Linked DNA regions of Drosophila melanogaster. The protein of the gene in region 1 interacts with the protein of each later gene in a pairwise test. Each region holds a gene or a part of one and is shown in the gene's direction. Other genes may lie near its edges. The genes, in order: CG42288, CG30080, CG13300 and CG15673.

Evidence for each region.
Region 2: the proteins of CG42288 (region 1) and CG30080 interact in a two-hybrid assay, tested with the Drosophila melanogaster proteins (one large-scale study listed by BioGRID).
Region 3: the proteins of CG42288 (region 1) and CG13300 interact in a two-hybrid assay, tested with the Drosophila melanogaster proteins (one large-scale study listed by BioGRID).
Region 4: the proteins of CG42288 (region 1) and CG15673 interact in a two-hybrid assay, tested with the Drosophila melanogaster proteins (one large-scale study listed by BioGRID).

Annotation. Positions count from the first base shown.
Region 1 is NT_033778.4:14,089,481-14,092,329, forward strand, and holds CG42288 (uncharacterized protein), read left to right. Parts: upstream 1-1,550; 5' UTR 1,551-1,628; coding exon 1,629-1,895; intron 1,896-1,967; coding exon 1,968-2,091; intron 2,092-2,155; coding exon 2,156-2,247; 3' UTR 2,248-2,334; downstream 2,335-2,849. Other genes in the region: prosap, read right to left, coding at 2,513-2,680; CG42287 (uncharacterized protein), read left to right, coding at 896-1,117, 1,177-1,312, 1,376-1,455.
Region 2 is NT_033778.4:15,698,204-15,703,505, reverse strand, and holds CG30080 (uncharacterized protein), read left to right. Parts: upstream 1-1,809; 5' UTR 1,810-1,830; coding exon 1,831-1,877; intron 1,878-1,933; coding exon 1,934-2,127; intron 2,128-2,182; coding exon 2,183-2,292; 3' UTR 2,293-3,642; coding exon of another isoform or gene 3,643-3,818; intron 3,819-3,887; coding exon of another isoform or gene 3,888-3,918; 3' UTR 3,919-4,352; coding exon of another isoform or gene 4,353-4,490; 3' UTR 4,491-4,780; downstream 4,781-5,302. Other genes in the region: CG46433 (uncharacterized protein), read left to right, coding at 3,643-3,818, 3,888-3,918; CG42662 (uncharacterized protein), read left to right, coding at 4,353-4,490.
Region 3 is NT_037436.4:6,349,352-6,354,349, reverse strand, and holds the start of CG13300 (uncharacterized protein), read left to right. Parts: upstream 1-1,959; 5' UTR 1,960-3,193; intron 3,194-3,520; exon of another isoform or gene 3,521-3,614; coding exon of another isoform or gene 3,615-4,040; exon of another isoform or gene 4,041-4,074; intron 4,075-4,998. Other genes in the region: Sfp65A (seminal fluid protein 65A), read right to left, coding at 3,615-4,040.
Region 4 is NT_033778.4:21,607,858-21,614,725, reverse strand, and holds CG15673 (uncharacterized protein), read left to right. Parts: upstream 1-1,654; 5' UTR 1,655-1,921; coding exon 1,922-1,943; intron 1,944-4,767; coding exon 4,768-4,947; intron 4,948-5,659; coding exon 5,660-6,072; 3' UTR 6,073-6,333; downstream 6,334-6,868.

The DNA of each region.
Region 1 (2,849 bases):
AATCGATACCAGTGTGATTTCAAATCCAGTTCGGTTTCAGTTTGGGTATCGCCCAGAGTTTCCGTTTGCAATTTTGCGGTTTCAATATTGAATTGGGCGAGGCCCCCGCATTGCATTTACGCTTGACAATGTTTCGACAGCAATTTGCTCAACAAATTGCGATTAAATGTATACAATTGATTGACCATTGTTTGGCTTTCATTAGCACAAAGGAGCGGGGAAGTGCCTTTCATTCGGTGAGTAATTTGACGGCATTATAAGGGCAAATAACCGCTGATCTTGACCCCCTGACCACGCATTTACTCATATTTCAAACTAAGTAACATATGTGAATATGTTAACACGTAGTTCTCCTAATCTGTTGGCCATTGAAAAACTAACCTTCCTTGTGACTGACACTTTTTTTTTGCCTCCCCTTGACAGACTGCCATTCAATTGTCAAATATCTTTGGATCTGCAGCGTCACGATTTCCAACTGGGCGCACGACCTCAGACATTGCAGTTGCCGATAAATTGCATTGAACTTCAAAAATTGAAACTTCACGAGGGCCATTTGGCAGCCATTCGAGGGCGGCTGAGGGGGCGTGGTCGTTTTTATGTTGTAAGGGCACGTGTCAGCCTTTGGCTGCATAAAAATTTCAATCAACAACATCTGTTGAAAAATTGCATTGCGATTCCACAGTAATTGGTTTTTTGTGTGATTCAATGCAAAATGCATTTAGTTTGATTGTGAATTTGTGTCTTTTAAGGATTTTGATCCTTAATCTTAGTGCAAGATTATTATTGATTCAAATATTAAATAACTAACGCAAAAATTTTACGATCAACTGTTCCTTGCATTCTGTTGTTTTGGGCGAAATTCATGTAAAAAAAAATCACAAATTTCTGTAGCGGCATGTTTTTTAAAAAGTGCTGCTTTTTCCTGCCCCTCAACGTGGGTTGCATAATCATTGGAGCCATCTTCATAACATTTCACGTTGGGGAGCTGATAACGCATTCGGATGACACCATTTTCATCAAGCAAGTGTCCCACAAATGGTGGGCACCCGTCATCATGTCTCCGATCCTGACAATTGGAACTCTGAGCTCTATACTCCTTGTGTATGCTGCTTCGAAGGTAAGAGATTCAATTGGTTTCTTTCAAGATTCTAATGCTTTATAACATTACAAATGCAGAGCAAGCGAGGCTTTGTCCTTATGTGGATTATCATCTATGCAATTATACTATCCCTATATTTCCTAATGGCCGTTGTCCAGTTGGCCAGGTCGAAACCTTCGCCGATTATATTGGCCGTTCAGGTGTTCATCATAGGTGGGTGTTGGCCATTTTTGATTGAATATGTCTGAATAATGTCTTGATTTTCATACCCCCTAGTTGGTCTCGTTTATTCCCTGCTAATAGTGCTGGCTTTTTATCGATATTTGAGCAGTGTGGATTCTGACGATTCAATTTGATGAGTTGTAAAATAAATGTTAAACTAACGTGTAACTGAATTTAACTGATCTAGTTTACTTCTTTCAGTGTGTCCCTTTTATACAAACTAGATTTTCAACAAATTTCAGTTTCTCAGGAAAGCTTTGAAAATTGTTGTTTAAAACTTGCAGTGCGGCTGAGGATCGGATCAATCATGGCCTGTCGCTGCAAATATCTGAAGCAGATCTTTACCAAGTGCTGCTACTGCTATTCCCTGCGTTTCGGTGTGCTGCTCTTCGGATGCATTTTTCTAACCTGGTTCATTTACATCACCATCGGCACCGGCTTCATGATGGAGTGCATCTTTCCGAACGAGTATCAGAGGTCCCTTATCCCAGCACCGGCGGCCCTCAAGGCCACCATGGTCTTCTCCTTCTTCGGCATCATAGTTTCGGCCATGCTCTGCCTGGGAGTGCACAATGTATGTGATCTGTCTATTATAAATATTCCCAATATATTTAGCATATGCTTATAATACCTCATAATTTTGTAGAACAACGAGATGCTCTTCCTGCCATTTTTGGTTTTCACACCCATTTGGATAATTGTGCACATTTTTGCCCTGACCGTTTACAGCTTTAATACCATCATCATCATCCTGACTGTCATCACAATGTGTGGGTACCCCCAATAATCATGAATCTAAAGCCTAAATTAAGTATACTATTTAATGTTTTATAGTACTTTTAGTGTATGCCTGGCTGGTGGTTTGGTCCTACTACATAGAACTGCTCTTCGCCTACGAAGATGAACTGGAAACCGGTTATGTGTAATAATAGTAATAATAATGATATTTACAAATTTTAGTATGTTGAGCAAGCATTTGATGTGCCTAATAAAATAATGCATGTAGGATACAGAAATACAGATCATAATTTCGCTTGAGCAGAACTCCATACTATGTGAAGTAGACCCCATTTCGGATGTACATATTTCTCCCCGTTTAGTGAGTATTTAGCGCACATGAGACATGCCCGTGCTCTATATACACCGAAAAGACAATGGGTATCGCAGTGGTAATGACAGTGACCGACTTACCTTCGGCAGCGAGGCGAGCACCTGCTGCTTGACATCCCAAACGAGCCGCTCCGATGGGAACTGCAGACACTTGTAGACATTCAGCTCCGGCACATGGATGCGCACCAGTAGCCATCCGTCCCGCGGCTCCGGCGGCGGCTCATCGTCAAACGCACCCGACCCGGACATGGCGTCCGTATTGGCCGGGTTCTGTTTGACTTTGGGCGTGGGTGGGTGGTATGTCGTAATTTTGACGGCTTTCTATCGCACGGTCCACGAAAAAAAAACGAAGCTACTCCCGCTCCACTGGGAGATCTCCTTCTAGCCGTTCTATTCGCTTAATTTGCTCTTTCCTTAT
Region 2 (5,302 bases), 1.6 Mb from region 1:
ACAGCGCTGATTGCGGCACTAAAAAGAAACGGGTTCTTGTGCGGCGATAAGATTTTCAGCATCACCATCATCCGACTGCCAACTGCCAACTGCCCTTTTCATTGCGACTCCCAACTTAATCGGTCCGAAGTTTGGCCATCGCCGTCTAATGTGCTTCGCCAAACTTTTGGGTCCGGCTCAAAGGCAGTTGGCACCTCGGACCACTTTCAGTTATTTACGCAGCGTCGCCTGAACCTGACAATCAGCAGCAATTTGCCTCAGCGCCTGGGATCCGCACTCGAGTCCCATCCACATCCACATCCGCATCCGAATTCTTATTCTTATTCAGAAAGCATCCGATAAGCATAACAGTTGTCGTCGTGCCGCCGGCTTACACCTTGAAATCGGATTTTTAGGGTGGGTTCAGTGATGAGCAAATAAGCAAAAAAAGTTAAATTAAAAAAAGAAGTACGGTTATTTATCAAAATAATTTTAAAATATTATTATCAAAAAACTTTTAAATATTATTTTGGAGTAATTTTTCTAATTAGATACATATCAGGTCATATTTTATGCCTTTCCAACCGGGAATGGTATTTTTCCATTAGCTGAATGGGTTTGAAATAAGCAAGAAAAAGGATATATTGGCACCTCTGGTGGGTTCGGTGGTTTCAGTGGGTGGCTGGGCGTCTGGCGGCGGTGCGCTGCTGCCAACAAATCGTCGCCAGATGGTGGCGACAATAAAACGTTTTACAATGTAACCAAGGCGACGACAAGGAGCAGGATCCGTGTGGCCATGTGTGGACAACAATGTGCAACAAAGTTCATAATTGTTTATGGCGACGGCTTCGATTTGATTTTTATGTCTTCAGGACTTGGGGCAGTGATTGAGTGTTGGTCTCAGGCCACAACCAAGGGGAAAAATGTTATAACCTCTAGCATTCAACTGTTGTAAAGAAACCTTAGAGTTTTTACATGCACCCGAAATTCAATTAAACAATTGTAAAGTAATATATTTAATGGTAACTCACAACTAGTCGTTTCACATACTTTCGAAACCATTTAAAACTTAAGTACGTGCATGAAATGAAACTTTAAATTCACCCTCATGCATCCATGGAATCTAAAGGTATAACATTATGGCACATAAGTTGCTTTTCGTTTTCTATTTGGCTTAATGGCATAGAAACATTAGGGATGAAATTTCAGACTATAATATTCCCCAACCTGCGGGCCCCGAAACTCCCGCCAGTCCGTTGGCTTCATTATATTGAAACTTTGACGTCGTTATTTTGCATAATTTACAGCTCGCTTGAATGCAGCAGCCAAGTATATTTCTATAACTACGCCGGTGATGGGCGGAAAATGCGGGGGGAAACTGCGCGTGTCGGTTGTCAACGCTACCTTGGCACATGCGAAACGTGAACTTCGAGACATCGAGTTAATGATTCGCACTTGTTCGCCCCCGCCACGCCTCCTTTTTCGACGTTTATGAGGCAGTAATGAAGTTGATTTATTACATTACACGACTTCTCGGGATCTTCGATTTCTTCTTCAGCTCAACGCACAGAGCATTGAACTCTGCATAGAAAATAGATACGAAAATAGACGCATTGTGACTGCAGAAGTAGCCGGCTGAACTCAAACATCTGTTCCGCTAGTTCCGCCGGATCGAACCATTTCCTAGATGGCTATAAATAGATAATGTAACGCCCTAACTCCAATCTCAGACACGCGTCTGCGATCGTCAGCCGCGACTGAGGGCTAAATTTAGAATGTGGAGAAGTAGGGCCCGCCAGCCACCCAAAAACATTAGTGTGGAGCTCCAACTTCAGTTTCCTTAGGAGCGCCATGGAGTGCAGAGCTGTTCCCATTCTACCCACCTATTCTCAAGCCTGGTTCGTAGTGCACAGTTTTGGATTAGCAAATCTACTAGTTAGTTTTTATTCAACAGTGGTACTCCTATGCCCCGGAAAACGTCCCTCTGCCGTACACTCTTTGATTATGGTCCTCTAAACGATCCGGTGATCATACTCATAACACTGGCCGTCGTAGTTGGATCCTTTTGCCTGCTCAGCGGATTCATTTTACTGTGCGTTGTCTCAAAAGCCTGGCAGGATGAGACTTCCGAGGCCATTCTCCTAATGGGTGAGTAACAGTGCTATTGAATTGATTGTTCCTATGATGAACTTTGGGTTTATAGCGATTGGCTTCTTCATCACGGCTTTGTCCTGCGTATCGTGGAAATTGACGCGAGCTCAACGAATTTCCCAGTTAGTGGATGCCCTCAGCGTAGATAACCAAACCATTTAGCTTGAAAGTATCTAACGTAAGACATATGAAAACTACGAGCTTGCAATTAGTTGCAATATACCTGATAAACTCTAAAACGTTCAACATTAGGGGCTGTCCGAAGTAAGATTGGTCTTAAGTTGTTTTTCCTATTCGCTTATGTTAAAGTACATGAATTATCTTATCAATGTCACCTATTTAATAATCTTGTTTGCTTTATAATAATATAATAATAATAATATTTAATATTAATATTAAAATATTAACCGAGACTCCCTGGTTTCGGACTAACTTAATACATAAGTGGGCTAATCAACGTGCCACCGCACGCAAAGGATAACCTCTCATTCGGTTTTGAAAGATTCAATTGCAGCAAGGCCATCCAAAGTCGAGATCCCATTTGAATCTCGCTCCCTCCAGTTATCTTCTGATCCCCGAATTCTCCGCACGAACTCTCACTGGCAATCAGCACGAATTCCTCACAGCAAATGAATTTCTTTGAAAGATTGGAATATCAGCATATGTCGCTTTGTTAAATGACCACTCACTTTAGAATTTGAAAAACAAGGGGCATTCCTCTTTATTTCCAAGTCCTTGGCGGTCAGCTGGTCCTTTGGCTTCGAAACTATTTTCGCGATGCACTAACATTCTCTGTAGTGTAAGCATTTGCCTGGCTTCTGATCGTAGGTGGTGCAGTATGTTTGATCTTGGGGAGGGAAACATTACTACAGGTCACCCCTCATCTGCTGGCACTTACAGGGCTTCTCTGTTTGGTTTCCAAAGGGAACTGCTTGTCCGGATTGTTGACCAAGTTTAAGGCATATGACCAGGAGCAGCAATTGCAAAACCGTCATTGCGCCACCAAGCTCTGATATGAACTGAATGCAGAAGACAGTCAAACTTCAGAGGAATCTCTGTGGATTATCTGATTACAGGTAGCTTGATTGCATATTGCAGTGATTAAATTTACAGAGAAACAAATAATGCTGCAGTGCAGGATAGAGAACATTAAATATTTATTTTAAATATAAAAAAGGGTGAAGAATGAATGCGTTGATACCATTTCTGTTAATATCTTTGTTTTCGGCTAACATAATTGTATCTTAAAGCTGAATTTTTACTGAATTAAGAGAAGATTTGCTCATCAGTCATATTACTAGCATAAAGAGGTTTTCGGTTAGATACACATCTAAAGAGTAAACCATATTGCGAATTGTAGGTAACAAGAATTTGATCCTCACTCCATCCTGCTCTTAAGGACATGACCTACCCCTGGGCATCTGGAGGCGCAAAGAAAATGCAGCTGCTTGCGCCCCTACCTGAGATCAAATAGTCCTTGATCCTCAGTCCGAAACGAGAACTCATCGAGAGATGCCACACTTGCAGAACATCGAGCGGGATTTTCCCCTTAACTGGACCTTGAATCCCATTCGGATCTCTAGTAGTCTCGCCGCAAATACTCTTTCCTTATATCGAAAGATCTCGCAAAACATGTGGCGCAGTTGTATTCAATTTTGCCATAGTCCCAAGTTCCAGCAATATGTTAGGTAAGTTTGGATACAATGATATTAGATATACATATAAAAAAATGTCCCTCCCTATATCGATTCTTCCAGATTCCTCGAGTCCAGTCTCTGTCAGTTTTAAAGAGCAATGATCCAAGAAAATGCGTCGTCGCCTCGTCTTCAAAACAGATTGCTTTTGATTTGCAATCTTGGCACGTTGACGATGCCAAAATTTGTTAGTTGAATTCATTATAGCGATACGCAGAGAGTCAGTCAACGATCTCGTTCCGAGAGGGGGGTTTCGCTTTGTTGTTTCAGAGTTCTGAAATACAACAATTTGTGGCATTGTAAAGTGCTCGTAACGCGATTGGGTTTGGGGCATTTCCAAGTCGGCGGCTGGGAAACTACCCTTGCCGCAGCAATTCCACCATCCAACCTTCAGTAGGGGGAAAACACCTCGCTTGGAGCTGCAATAAATTCCGGTCGCTATCAAGACGAGCGTTCAGTAACGTTTCAAAGCCAGACGCGCTAAGATTGCTAATTCCAAAGCTTCGACCAGTCGACGAGCATCAGAACATGGAGCACATTCGATTTGTTGACAAAGTCTTTAGAGCCCTGATCGCCGGCACCCTGCTGCTCCTGATGACCGCCATTTACCGGGAGGACAACAACTCCGGATCCCACTACATCCATCCAAGACACGCCATGCAGTAGCTCCATCGTGGTCTACTAAGATCGATTCAACCTAGTCCGATGCAATCGAATCTCTCGAAAGTGCGGCACAAAAACCGGTTGTGTATATTGCCGGCTCGACGACATATCGCCATATCAACTAACTGCACAAATAATGTTATGTTATATGTTAATAATGTTAATGTTAAGAAACATGTGTAATTATCTATAGCTCATCCCATCGTAACTAATCTAACTTATGTGCTATAATGTTAATACTTAGAAATTAGTTTTAGTGTGAAAATATAATATAAAATGCAATGTATATGAACACAACCATTTTGCTCAACTTGCAGATAACATGGGATCGGGAGGGCTCTGAAATATCGATTAGCAAGAGCTATTCGCACTCTTTGCAAAACAGGTTGCAATTTCATGCGATCCGAACTTGTTTATAGAAAACATTTTTAATGGGCCAATTTCAAACGACTTTAGCACGAATTTCTTTCTTTATCCGTGGCATACTCTAGAAGCTGACCTTAGCTAATATAAGCAATCACGTTTTGCTTATTGGAACAAGTGTTTTGAGCAAATTAAATTTCCGTGCAAAAGAGCTACAAGTGATATGAAGAACATTGGTACATACGACTAAGTTTTGCGGTATTTCAGTATTTTAAAATTGTTTTAATAAATAAATAAAAAATTACTAGAAAATGTATTATCAAAACTAAAAAATGTTTAATTATTTAAACATTACACAATGCATTTAAACAATTTTTCAATCTACATACATATCCTCCTAATTTTACATCACCAACGCTTAGCATGGTTTTCAACCAACAATGTAAGATCGA
Region 3 (4,998 bases), on another chromosome or scaffold:
GGCTTGGCGCTCCGTCTTCGGAGACGGAGAAACGGCGCATTTCTCATAAATCATTCGAAAGGCTCTCTGGCGGGCAATGTATCGCGGCATCGTCATCCCAGAATCGAATCCCTGACTCGTCGACGACGTCTTCTGCCTGTCAGAGGAGTCGTGGTCGATATGAAGAAGGAGCTGGGGGAGCAGGAGGAGGTGGGCCTGGCCCACTCGGATGCCCATCCAAGGCATCGAACTTGTCTAGCCCATCTGAGTGTCGGCCCTGTCCATCTTGAATTAGTTGAGCAGTCGCAAGACATTAGGTGGAGCGAATGGCTGAAGATGGCTAACTATATTAAGTTTGACTTTTAATGCATATTTTCTAAGCGTTTACTTCTCAAGGAATTGCTAAAGGCCTGATTGAATTTATTTATGATTTATTTTAAGAATTTCCAGCTGCTAGGCCACAGATGGAGATGAAAACGCTTTTTAAATTTAATGTTCAAGTTTTACCATCCTACTAAACATAAAGTTAAGATAAAAATGGTCATTTTAGATGTTATATTTGTTAGGTACTAGCGAATAGGTTTTAAATAGGGAACAGTTTCTACTTGTGTTTTCTTTGACATCATCTTCAGTTAAAATGAATGATATAATGTAAAAGAGAGAACAAAATTGCAGGCTGCATCATTCCCATTAAAATGTCCATTTGCAGTATTCACCCGCCATAATTTCTTTTGATAAAACACCTAATGATATAAAGTTTAATTACTGATAAAAGCAAGAACTAAGTGCTTTTTTCACCATTTATCTGCCATGATTTCACTGGCCTTTGGAGCACATTTTTTGTGCTGGTTAAGTTTTAAGTAGAGTCCAAACCTCGACCCGCCTGTAACTTTGACTGCACACGCATCGCCCCTCGCTGCTCGCCGCTTTCTCCACAGAATTTTCCACGGACACTCACCTGACGGAGCCGGCAAACTTTTGCATAATAAAGCAGGTGCTTTTCCTCCCCCAAAAGGGATCAGACCAGACCAGACCAGTCTGACCTCGCCACCTGAGTCACCATCACCATCGCCTTCGCCTTCGCCATCTGCACGAACTGTTAATGTGCTGGCGATTTTAGTTATGGCCAGTGGCCAACGCCAGTTGGGAGTTGGGACCTGACCAGCTGGGCAGAGTGTCCTTTGTCCCGTTGATAATTTAAAGCCAACGACCTGGACCTGGCCGGGATTAAACCAACTGAATGGCAACTGTTTTCTGCTCAAATCACAGAGAAAATAAATTGGGGATTTCGTACTTACAGAATGCAATTTCGAGCTTGCCAAGCTGGATTAGGTTACAAATTTCAAATGCAAGTTGTATGTAATTTGTTGATTTTACGGTTGTAACCTAACAAAAAACAGTGTGCAGAGACCAAGCAGCAACAAATAGGCACACCATTTTTTCCTCCGTGTAGGATGGCACACTCCTACCCACTTTTAACACTCACCAATCTCTTCCGATTCCGCTCTTTTGGCCATCTGAATATTCATTTCAATTGTGCGAACTGCATCGGCGGTGAAAGAAAAGCCTGCACCATTCCAGCGGCAACGGCTTATGGCACTTTCTTTGGGCCAAAAGAGTGGATTCGTTGATGCCCCGATGTTATGCTGCATATCGATGGTGCGGTGCTGGTGCTGGTGCTAGTGCTCCTAGCTGCTGGTGGTGCCGCCCGGTGGGGGACGACGACCCACATAAATCATTCACAATTAGATGCGGACGCAACTGCGGCAGCGGCTTAAACACCTGACCGACTTGCTCCCGAAAAGACTCCAAGCCGAGTGATTTTCCGCCCGAGTTCCACTCGAGTGGCCAGCTCAAGTGTTGAGTGAGTTTTCGGGGGCATTGAGTGTGCCGGTTCCATGGCGTTCCGCCCATGTTCCACGGACCTCGACGGACCTGTTCCCAGTGCGTGCCGTTCAGTTTGTACTTGAGACCGGTTCGAAACGTTGCCAGCCGAAAAGTCAGCGGGCCGCGGACGACGATATCCCCACAAAAAACCAAACCAGAACCAAAAACAGCTCGCAACATTGGCAACATAGCAACCCCCCATCAGCAACATTGGTTTTTTCGTCTTTTGAGTTTCAGTTCAGGGTACCACTATATGATTTGATATGATACATAAACCCCGATTGTTAAGTGATTTTGTGCGGTGATCAATGTGTGCGATCGGCAGTTTGGCAGAATCCCCAAGAATGCCGCGTTAATTGAGCTGTACGTACAGCTATAGTACAAATTTGCATAACCAGTGAGGAGGCATAAACAAATCTGGCCGCCGAGCGGAGGAGCGTCTTGGTTCACTGATTTAATGCCACAAACAGATTGCAGATTGTAGCCCGCAGCCGCGCCCCTGCAACTTGCAACTTCTTTGGCTGCAACTTGTGCAGCAGGCAGCAACCAGCTAGCAGCGACCACCTTCACCTCCACCTCGAACTCCTTGCTGCATCTTGGACTCGGTTTGGTCTTGGTCAACCTGCTTGCAAGCTTGTTTCTGCGGAAGAGCTGCCGCCGGAGCGCCAGACCCGGCAAAAAAAAAAACAAATACAAAAAAAAAACAAAACAAAAAAAAAACAAATCTAAAAAAAGTAAGGAAAAACACATACAGAACAACACGGCTGCCGTTGTCGTCGTCTTTGGAATTTTCTTTAAAAACAACGCGCTAAGATTTGCAACGCGGACCCAGGCAAAAAGTGTAAAAGGCAAGCAAATGCATCCGCGGAATAAAAAAATTAGCGCATAGTGAAGCGTGTCCCAGTGTGTGTGTGTGTGTCGTCCATTGTACATGAGTGTGTGTTCTAAACGCCGAGTGTGCGAATAAAAAAGCTGCCCAACTGAGAGAAAAAAAGTTTGAAAAGTGTCAAGCGAGCGGCTCGGTGGCGGCCAATAACCCAACGACTGGCATGCAATTGCAGCCAGGCGACCCCGACGGGTTAATTACCGTTATCCTTGCAACACAGCAACAACTAAAACAACAACGAGCCACACTAAACGGTGCTCAAGTTGTGGATTACGTCTCCGCCGCGTTGTCGCCGTGTGAAAAGGACAACAGGAACACAGCATCTGCAACATTGGCCATAAAAAGCGCATTGAGCACACGGCAAAGTCAAGTGAACATTCCAATTGGCAACGTAACGGGCTAATTGGCACACACAAACACATCGCTGCACATGAAAACGAGGTGAGTTTCAAGAATTCTGCATTTCCTTCATCCAATTGCCTGCTAAGCTTGTTTCGATTGCCTTCCATTCCTAGAATGATTTATGAAAGAATGTATTGGCAAGACAGGCAAGATACGGCTAAATACTTATGACAAACTAAATAGATCGGTTTTTACAGGGCTTTATTGTTATGAATCTTTTTTTCCCGTGAAATGCCAAATTAGTTGCTGCCTGAATAAACGCTATCGATTTCATACTCGAAATTACTATAATTTGTAACAAGTTATTAACTTTTAACTTTAGTTAGTAACTATTAACTTCAAAGTATTTAAAAGAATTTTATATTAGTCTGTGATATTTTAATATATTGAACGTATATTGATTAATTTTCAATTAACACCTTTAACTTTATTTCCTTCCCAATTACTTTTGAAGGATGTTTTAATCGTGATGATGGTCATGGAGATCGTTTTCAAACTGCTCATGAATAGGTCCTTGAAATAATTTTATACCATGAAATATATCTGCTTTTGACATTTTGGGCTTTCTTGTAACCGTTTGCACTTTGGAGTTAACAATGTTTTTTTCACCGGCCTTCAATTGCTTACTTTCGCTCATAACGACGATATTATTTCCTAGATCTGGCAATCGAGGAGATGAACCAATCGTTTTTTTGCCAAGGAAAGTCTCTTGAAAGAATCCAGGTCCTGGTACATACGTATTTCCCTCCGCTTCCGTAAGTCCCGATGTGGAGGTGTTTACCGTTATAGCTCCATCGTTAAGTATAATGCTATTGGCACTGTCATCTTTCTGATAAGCTAAAACGCTGGCGCAAAGGATAGACAATAGTCGCAGTATCCAAACCATAGTCCGTGGAGATTCGTTTAATATAAGCTGAGAAATCTGCCTTTATCATTACAAGTCGTTTGTGGCTAACAGAAATGTAAGGCTTTGACATTTAGCATGAAATCGGTTTGATTCACATTTCGCATTAATTTACATGGTTATACCATGTGTTAAATGGTTATATACTTGTTTCAAAACTCCAACAGAAGTTTGCATTAATCCCGAGCAAATTACTGGATATACTTATAGCTACTAGATCCTTTATATATATTGGTGTAATATTTCTTAAGCTTAAGCCCGGCTTCGTCTCGAGTAAGTCAACGAGTTTTCTTTTGATCTCTGGTTCGGTGCGACTTAAAAGCGGGCCAAGCTGTAGGCCAATTCCAGGGAAGTCCACTCCATCAGGCTGAAGCCCATCGAGTTTTCCATCGAGTTTTACTGCAGATACATTTGTGACGGGCCACTTGGAGCTGCTCGGCTTCGATTCTTGTATCTCTCAATTTCCATTAGACCCAGAGCGGGTTCTCGTTCTCTTGTGTTTCTACGCTTTTGGTTCTGAAGTGAATTTATGTCGAGCCGCTAAACAATTGATGCTGAAAAATGATGGCAATGACAAAGTGATTACGGCCAGCAGTGGAAAGCGACGCGAGATGCCAGCAATCGAAGTTCAAGTTGAAAAATAACATTTTCAATTTCCAATTGTGGGGTTCATAGTGAGCCAGAGCTGCCTCGGTGGAAAAGTGAAAATGAAATGCTTTGCTAGCAGACAAAAGCGGTTCATCATTAATCATTTAGTTTGTTGTTTTTACAGCGCAACCGAAAGTATACCTATTTATACGTACATAATCGGCACTTCTTCTTCGTTTGGGGCACGTTCTCGATTTGAATCTTTTCCTCCATACGCCGTCCCATTTTTTTCCTTTTTTCATCCCGTGTTTGTTTCGTCTCTGAGTATTTGGCTTTGGTAAATTGCTCATCG
Region 4 (6,868 bases), 7.5 Mb from region 1:
CTTCGCTTAGCCTCCCCAGTTGCAGGGTGTCGGTTTCATCACATGGTGACACACATCGTGAATCAGCACGTGCCTTATCCAATAACCTGTCGAACCGGCAATCCGATCCCCCGCATCACCAACTCATCTGCCCAGCAATCGGCGTTTGGTCACGACTAGAGGAACTGCGTTACTGCCACTGCGTCATATCGTGGGCTAATCAATGCTGGTCCGCTTACTGTTCTGAATTAGATTTTACTTTGTTACCAACCATGTCGTGGATGGATCGCGTTGGATGTGGCACGTGCTGGGGTCGCCTGGTCGTTGACTCGTCACAATTGACCAAACTGGTTATTGCCATCGTAGCTGCGAGACAATTTGCTGACCAATCTGTGCCCCCGTTCAATGTCGGCCCACAATTGTCCAATTGCCTTGGAGTCGCAGTATGCCATTCAATTAGCGAATGTGCAGCTCTCTTGGCAACCGGTAGCTGCTCCATGGATACATCTCTATATATAACGCCCAGGTGCCAATTATAACACGCACACAAAAGAGCCGAGCCGAGCAGCTCGATCGATTGATCGATCGCTCGATCTATTCATCAAGTTCAGGGTCGAACTCAAATCACTCCGTCGCTCATAGATTGGCCTTAATTTGTGTCAAGCACCCTGATAAGGAGTTTGACCGCTCCACCATCCATCACCCGAATCTCAGACCACTGGGGGATCCTAGAAATTTCACTCCATCTTCTTCTGACGACTCCACTTGGTCGGATCACGAAATTCACACAGCGTATTAGCACCTCGCAGAGGGGCGTGTAGGTGTGAGTTCACGCCCAAAAATAACCCTAAGCAGAGCAGAGAGTTCTTTGGGCCACTTTCGCAGTTTTTTTAAAGCCAACTTAAGCTTTAAAAATAACCAAGGTAACTAAGGATCTGCAAATTGAGGTGTGGCTCTTACCTTAACCGATATTCGTGATGTTCTTAAAGGTGAAAAGGCAACATTTGTTAATTTAAGCGCGCATGTAAGACCTACACACAAAGGGCATAAACAACCAACATTGATTATAATTTATTAACTTTTCTTATCACATTTTCCTTATCTGCGACACATTGTCACTTCTTTAACATTGATAATTTTACAGTTCACAATGATATTTTGCATAAACTGCGCAGCAAGAAGATTATTTTCGAATAGCAAGATAAATATTTAGTAACTTTGGATATACATATGATATATTAATTTTAAAATTCAATTCTCACTTATGCACTCATGCTTTCTATCCGCGTGGTTACTAGCCGAAATAGTATATATAAAATAATAAAATAAAATCATTATAAAATTAAACTTTGGTTCTTTTTAGGGGGTTTGTATGAAACAATCGTAGTCGGAGAACCCGAACGGAACCACGTTCCAATCATTCATGGGCTTGGCGGTGGCAACGGTGGTAGCACCTCCGCCTTCAGAACGCATTGTTTGATGTTTTGGCCAGCAATTATATACGTTGCTCTAACCAGTTCCGCCAATCGCTGGAATCACTACTACACTTTCTCGCCCGGCGGAGAGCGCGTGACTCATACGCACGGGGGCCACACAAAGACGCTGGCAGCGATGGAACCACCAGCAGCAAGAGCAGCTCCGGCTAAAAGCTGTAGACATGGCGAGCGACGCGCTCAGTCTGCGACACACAGTTGAAGCTGAAAGATCGATTCGATACGGCGGTCAGTCCGCATCCGCATCCAAATCAAGTCCAAGTCCAAGTCAAGTCCCAGCCCGCCTCCGTTTCCAATTGCCCGGTGCAGTTCTCAGTGAAGTGAACGATTTATGGAAATTCATTGATTGCAATTCAAGCCGACAAGTGTGTGAATTAAAAACAAACAACATTCCGAGTTACCTGAGCAGTAGCAGCAACAGCACCATGCCACACAGCCGGATCCATACAATGTGGCCCATTATGATAGGTGGTGAGTCTGGGACAGGCCTTCTCTGGCTACTATACCTATGTATATATCGTTATAACAAGCAAGTCTCCAAACAAGCATATGCTAATTATGCGAACGTGAACTTCCACAAACTCTGGCTGATTGCAGGTACCTATATATGTATACCGATAATGCTCAATAGGAGGCAATGTTTGAATGGGTCTGTGAAATCGCGTTTTGTGTAGGAAAGTTATTCTTTATAATACGGCCAATTATCCCATAGAACTAGTCGTTCTAAGCTATGCTTAAAATAAAAAAAAAAAAACAGGAAATATCACCGCTGATTGCTTAATTCATTCTTGGCGTAAATGGTGACGGTTTGCCTGGCATTAAAGCCTCATAAATATTATTAAACGTTCTATTATGATTAATTGATTGCCCCTACAAACAAACACAATCGAGACTTGATTGAGCAGCTGTTTATTAGTTTCAGTACGAAAGATATAGTTTCCTAAGAGCAACTGTGCTTCCACAAACCATAGAACAATTTTCTTAATAGCTATTAAGCTTGTATTATCACACGCAATTACCATTATAGCCTGTGGCGTCTGTTTGAGGAACTTCTGGCGTCAAGACCATATCATCTTGGTCCTCCATCCAGACGTCGTAGTCGTAAACCAGTTAACGATGTCTTTACGATACCGTCATCTGCTAAGCCCGTTAGATAAGTTGTGATAGCCGGCATTAACCGACATGTGATCGCCCCGTAAATATCATCCAAGCGAATCAAAGTAAAAGCCCCTCGTTCCGTTGACATTTCACTAAAGTGGGACTTTTAAAGGGGGTGAGGCTGCGGTTACTCGACTTGCAATTTTCCCGCAAGTTATGAAAACCGGTTAAACCAAAGTCACTGGCAAGCCCCAAATGCTAATGATAAATGACGTTATTATGAGGAAAGCGCTATACTCTACTCTCAACTAAGCCACCCAACTCGGGCATAATGGCAAACACTCACGGAAATTCCCGAAATTCGATTTCTTGAGCAGAAAGCGGGTTCAAGGCGCTTGGAGTTCGCCTATCTGCAGCTCCGATACATTAGCCAAGCGAGCACATGGCATGCGGGCCAAACAATATATATCCCATATACCATGTCCAATGGCCCATGCTCCGTTTGCACAGGTGCCAACGCAGTAGTGAAGTGGAATTGCTGACGTTGACTTCAGCACGTTTTGCCATTAGTGGCTAATTAGAATTTAATTGCTTATATTTTGTTGTGTCCGCTTGTTTTTCCACTTCCATTGGGTTCGCTTTGTTTGGCGTTCCAATGGTGTTTGCATGCGTTCCTTTACCGCCACCTTATCACCACGAACTCGACACTCTATAAATAAGCGAACCCACCCGATCTACCCGCCAATTATCCACTGTTGACTGAAAACTCAACCCCAAGAATAACCCGCAGTCAAACATTAGCTTTGGCAGTTATTTTTAGCGGCCACATATCAAGTGCTTTAATCTAGTTTGTAGTGCGTGCAGAAGTGGAGCAGGGTTGTCCAGGTCTGCTCCTAATTACCTGGTTACACATTCAGTTAGCTCCGAAGATGCCTTTCGGTCTTATCAGCGTGGAAAATATTTGTTTTCGACTAGCAGAAAGATTCCACATCTGTGCTTTCACATGACCATTTGGTCTAGAATCTAGACTCTAGATGAATCCAAATGTTGTCAGAAATTAGCACAACGATTCCATTCAGCTAATTTTTTCCAGAACGGAGTTTCCTACTAATAAAAGAAGATCAAGCGATTTGTGGCGATGAGTTGGTACTGCAATTCATTCACCTTCCTTTCGTATCTATGAAGCAATTACATTTTTTTGGCTAGACAACGGGGCGTATGAATTATCTCATAGTCAGTTGCGCAACTTTCCTCTGGACTGGCGCTACAAAAATTTCTCATGGAATTGACCAGCTGTCGCTCTCATCGAGACTCGTCGTCACATTTCCAACTTAGGTCAACGATTTCGTACGACCGAAATTTCATCAGCTAGGTGGTGAAATTGATAGCGAAGTGATGGGCGCGCAATCAGGTAATTACACGCAATTGACAGGCGTTGTAAAGATACTTGGTCTCAAAATAAAGATGGTGTGCCGTGTGCGTCTCCAGCCATCCATCCCGATCCAAGAGGGAACGCACCTTCGATGGTGAAATATGGCCGCCGCCAAAGAAGTGTGCAAACTTGGTTGCCAACTCATCGAATGGGCTTTAAATGAGATAGCCATGTTTTATTGGCGGCAGCTTAACTGGCTTTTATGGTGTTTGTGTTTGTGATGGGTGCGTCAAAATATTTTGCAAACCGCAACCAGGAAGATAATGCCCGACCATTGTGGACGAACTAACACCTACCCCACTAGCCGCAGTGACTAGAGATCTTCTCCAGTCGTATCAGGGCTGGAGATATACCCAAAAGCCGCCTCAGACACCGGGTCGTCATTGAGGGCCTTATCGTTAAGTGGCTTTGGCCGTAAACCTAGTCGCCCGATTGGCTGAGATTATTTAGCGATCCATTTACGGGGGGGAACACCCTGCTGGCACTGGTTATATTTAGATTCCTTATCAGTCGCCGATGAAGATGTTTGACTTGATCACTCCCACCTGGAGGAAGATCCATTCGTTCGCACGCCCCAGAGTGGCGATGATAAGCTATCAGTGAGCTCACCGCTCTGTCTTGATTTCCTGATACCATAATATCGCTAATACAGCTTGTCTGCTTCGCTCCGTTCCCCTCCCTTCCGCCTCATTCCGATTCAATTCGATTCGATTCGTTTCGGTGCGGTTTGGTTTGGTTCGGCGTGGCCGTTTTGTTTCCTTTCAGTAATCATCGCCAGCTCGTGCTGCGTAGACGGCCAGTCCTATCTCTTCAGCGTGGAGAACGTTCTCCACGAGTCCGCCCGCCCACTGCCCTACAACTTGACAAACGCCAACGGAACCACCGAGGTGGAATTGTTTCCCGACACCATCTCAAACAACACGCGGATTATTGTCTACAAGAACAGTGAGTATCTGAAGGATGCAATACTAAATGTGCATGAGGCATCAGACTAAGATTTTTGTGCTAGATAGAAAAAGATACTTTGAGTAAATCGTTCAATCATTTCTATTTCACTTAGGCTGTCAGCCACTCAGCCACTTATTTTTAGAGTCTTATTAATGTTAAAGAATAAATTAAATTGATTTATATCGATAAGATTTGCTACAAAACGTCACTGATTACTTTGGTAGTAGAATTGACTTGAGTACCATACAAAGTGAAAATAAACGAGATCGATTGAACAGGCCATTTCAACTGCCATAAACATTTGTAACCCTTGTAACGCTCGCCCACCGGTAATATCTTAATTTCAGTGGACCCTTGAAACCGGCAATCAACAACGATTCCCGTCTAATTACTATATACCCGCCACTAGGGTTAGCCCCTATCAATGGGGCTCATTTAAGCCATTAGCGTAGTTCGATGACGCGCAAGTATTGCAGTCGAGCAGTTTCGTCATAAAGTTTATAGCACAGACCCACAATTCGTGACTAGAAGCACAACAGCACCAACTGATAACTTGCTGCTGGGATGAAATTCTAGCAATTCTAGTTATTTCCATATAGAGTCTGGACCTTATATTTCAATTAGACTGGGGAGATTTGTCTATGCTTTGGCTGCGATATAAGCCCTATAGTAGTCACGATCAAAACTAATTAATACCTAACACTTTCAGCTGTCGTCGAGTCGCCCAACGATCTGTCCCAGACGGCAATGGATGTGATCACGATTGTGTGGTATGTGGCCACTTTCCTGGCCCTGGCCGCCTTCTTCATGCTGATGGCCTGTTCGGATCGCAGATGCCGCGACATGAGGCGTCGTCCCGCCGGAGGTCAATCCACCGAGGGTCTGAGGGCACCACCCACGCCCTCGCCATCCTACAGCGAATTTGCGCCTCCCAGCTACGATACGGTGATCAAGATGCAGCACGCGGCCAAGACGAGCGTGTTTGTGATACCGTTCAGCAACAAGGCCGGTGAATTGGGTGCACCACCGTCGGGTACGCCGCCCCCAACTTCCAACCCATTGCCAGCCGCAGTCACCTGCGATGTGATCATCGTCAATGAACTGCAGAAGTCCGCTGACTAAGCAACCGATAAGCCGACGGTGGATCCCTGGATCCGGCCTTACTATTCCGACTCTGTGATATTTGCTGTTTATGGCAAAGGGCCAAGTATTAGATGTCGTAAGATCCCCACAAAAAGACTGACAATGAAAGATATCTGTGTGCGCATATGCATTCAAATGCCAGTTCAACTGAAACTAGATGATTAAGTAATTAACTTTAATAAATCATAGCCATATCGTAAATGATTCATCCAACGGGATGTTTGCTAAATGTTTACCAAGAACTCGGCTTTCCAGTTAATCAGGGGCTTATGGGGAATATTCAAAGTTGGGGGCAAGTTATCTGGCAACTTGCTTGGCAAAAGCTTTCGAGCAAACAGATTCCGTAGACCAAAACCATTTAGTTTCGCTCGGGTGAAAGCTTTCTGCGGAAACGAATTCAAAACTGAGTACTGATAAGCGTTCGGGGGAAGCTTTTTCGTTCTGATGTTAACTTACACTTGATGCGAACGGATTGGGATTGACAAGGCCTGAAACTGAACCCCCTTCATTCAGTATCAGGTGATCTGGAGTTGAAGTGCTCGCCGTGCGTTTATCCAAGAGAAAACACTGTTTGTTTGAACACTGCGCTGGCCAAATAATGGGGCAAGTTAAGCAAACATAAATAAGGCACTTCCCCCTCCCATTGCCATTTGGATGCTCAGGGTCAGGCGTTCGGTTCATTCATTGATCGATTCCAGTGAATTTCAATTTCTTTCCAGCCGCCGTTGTTTAGATCGAGCGAAGGTAACATCTGGCCCAAAACAGACCTGTTGTT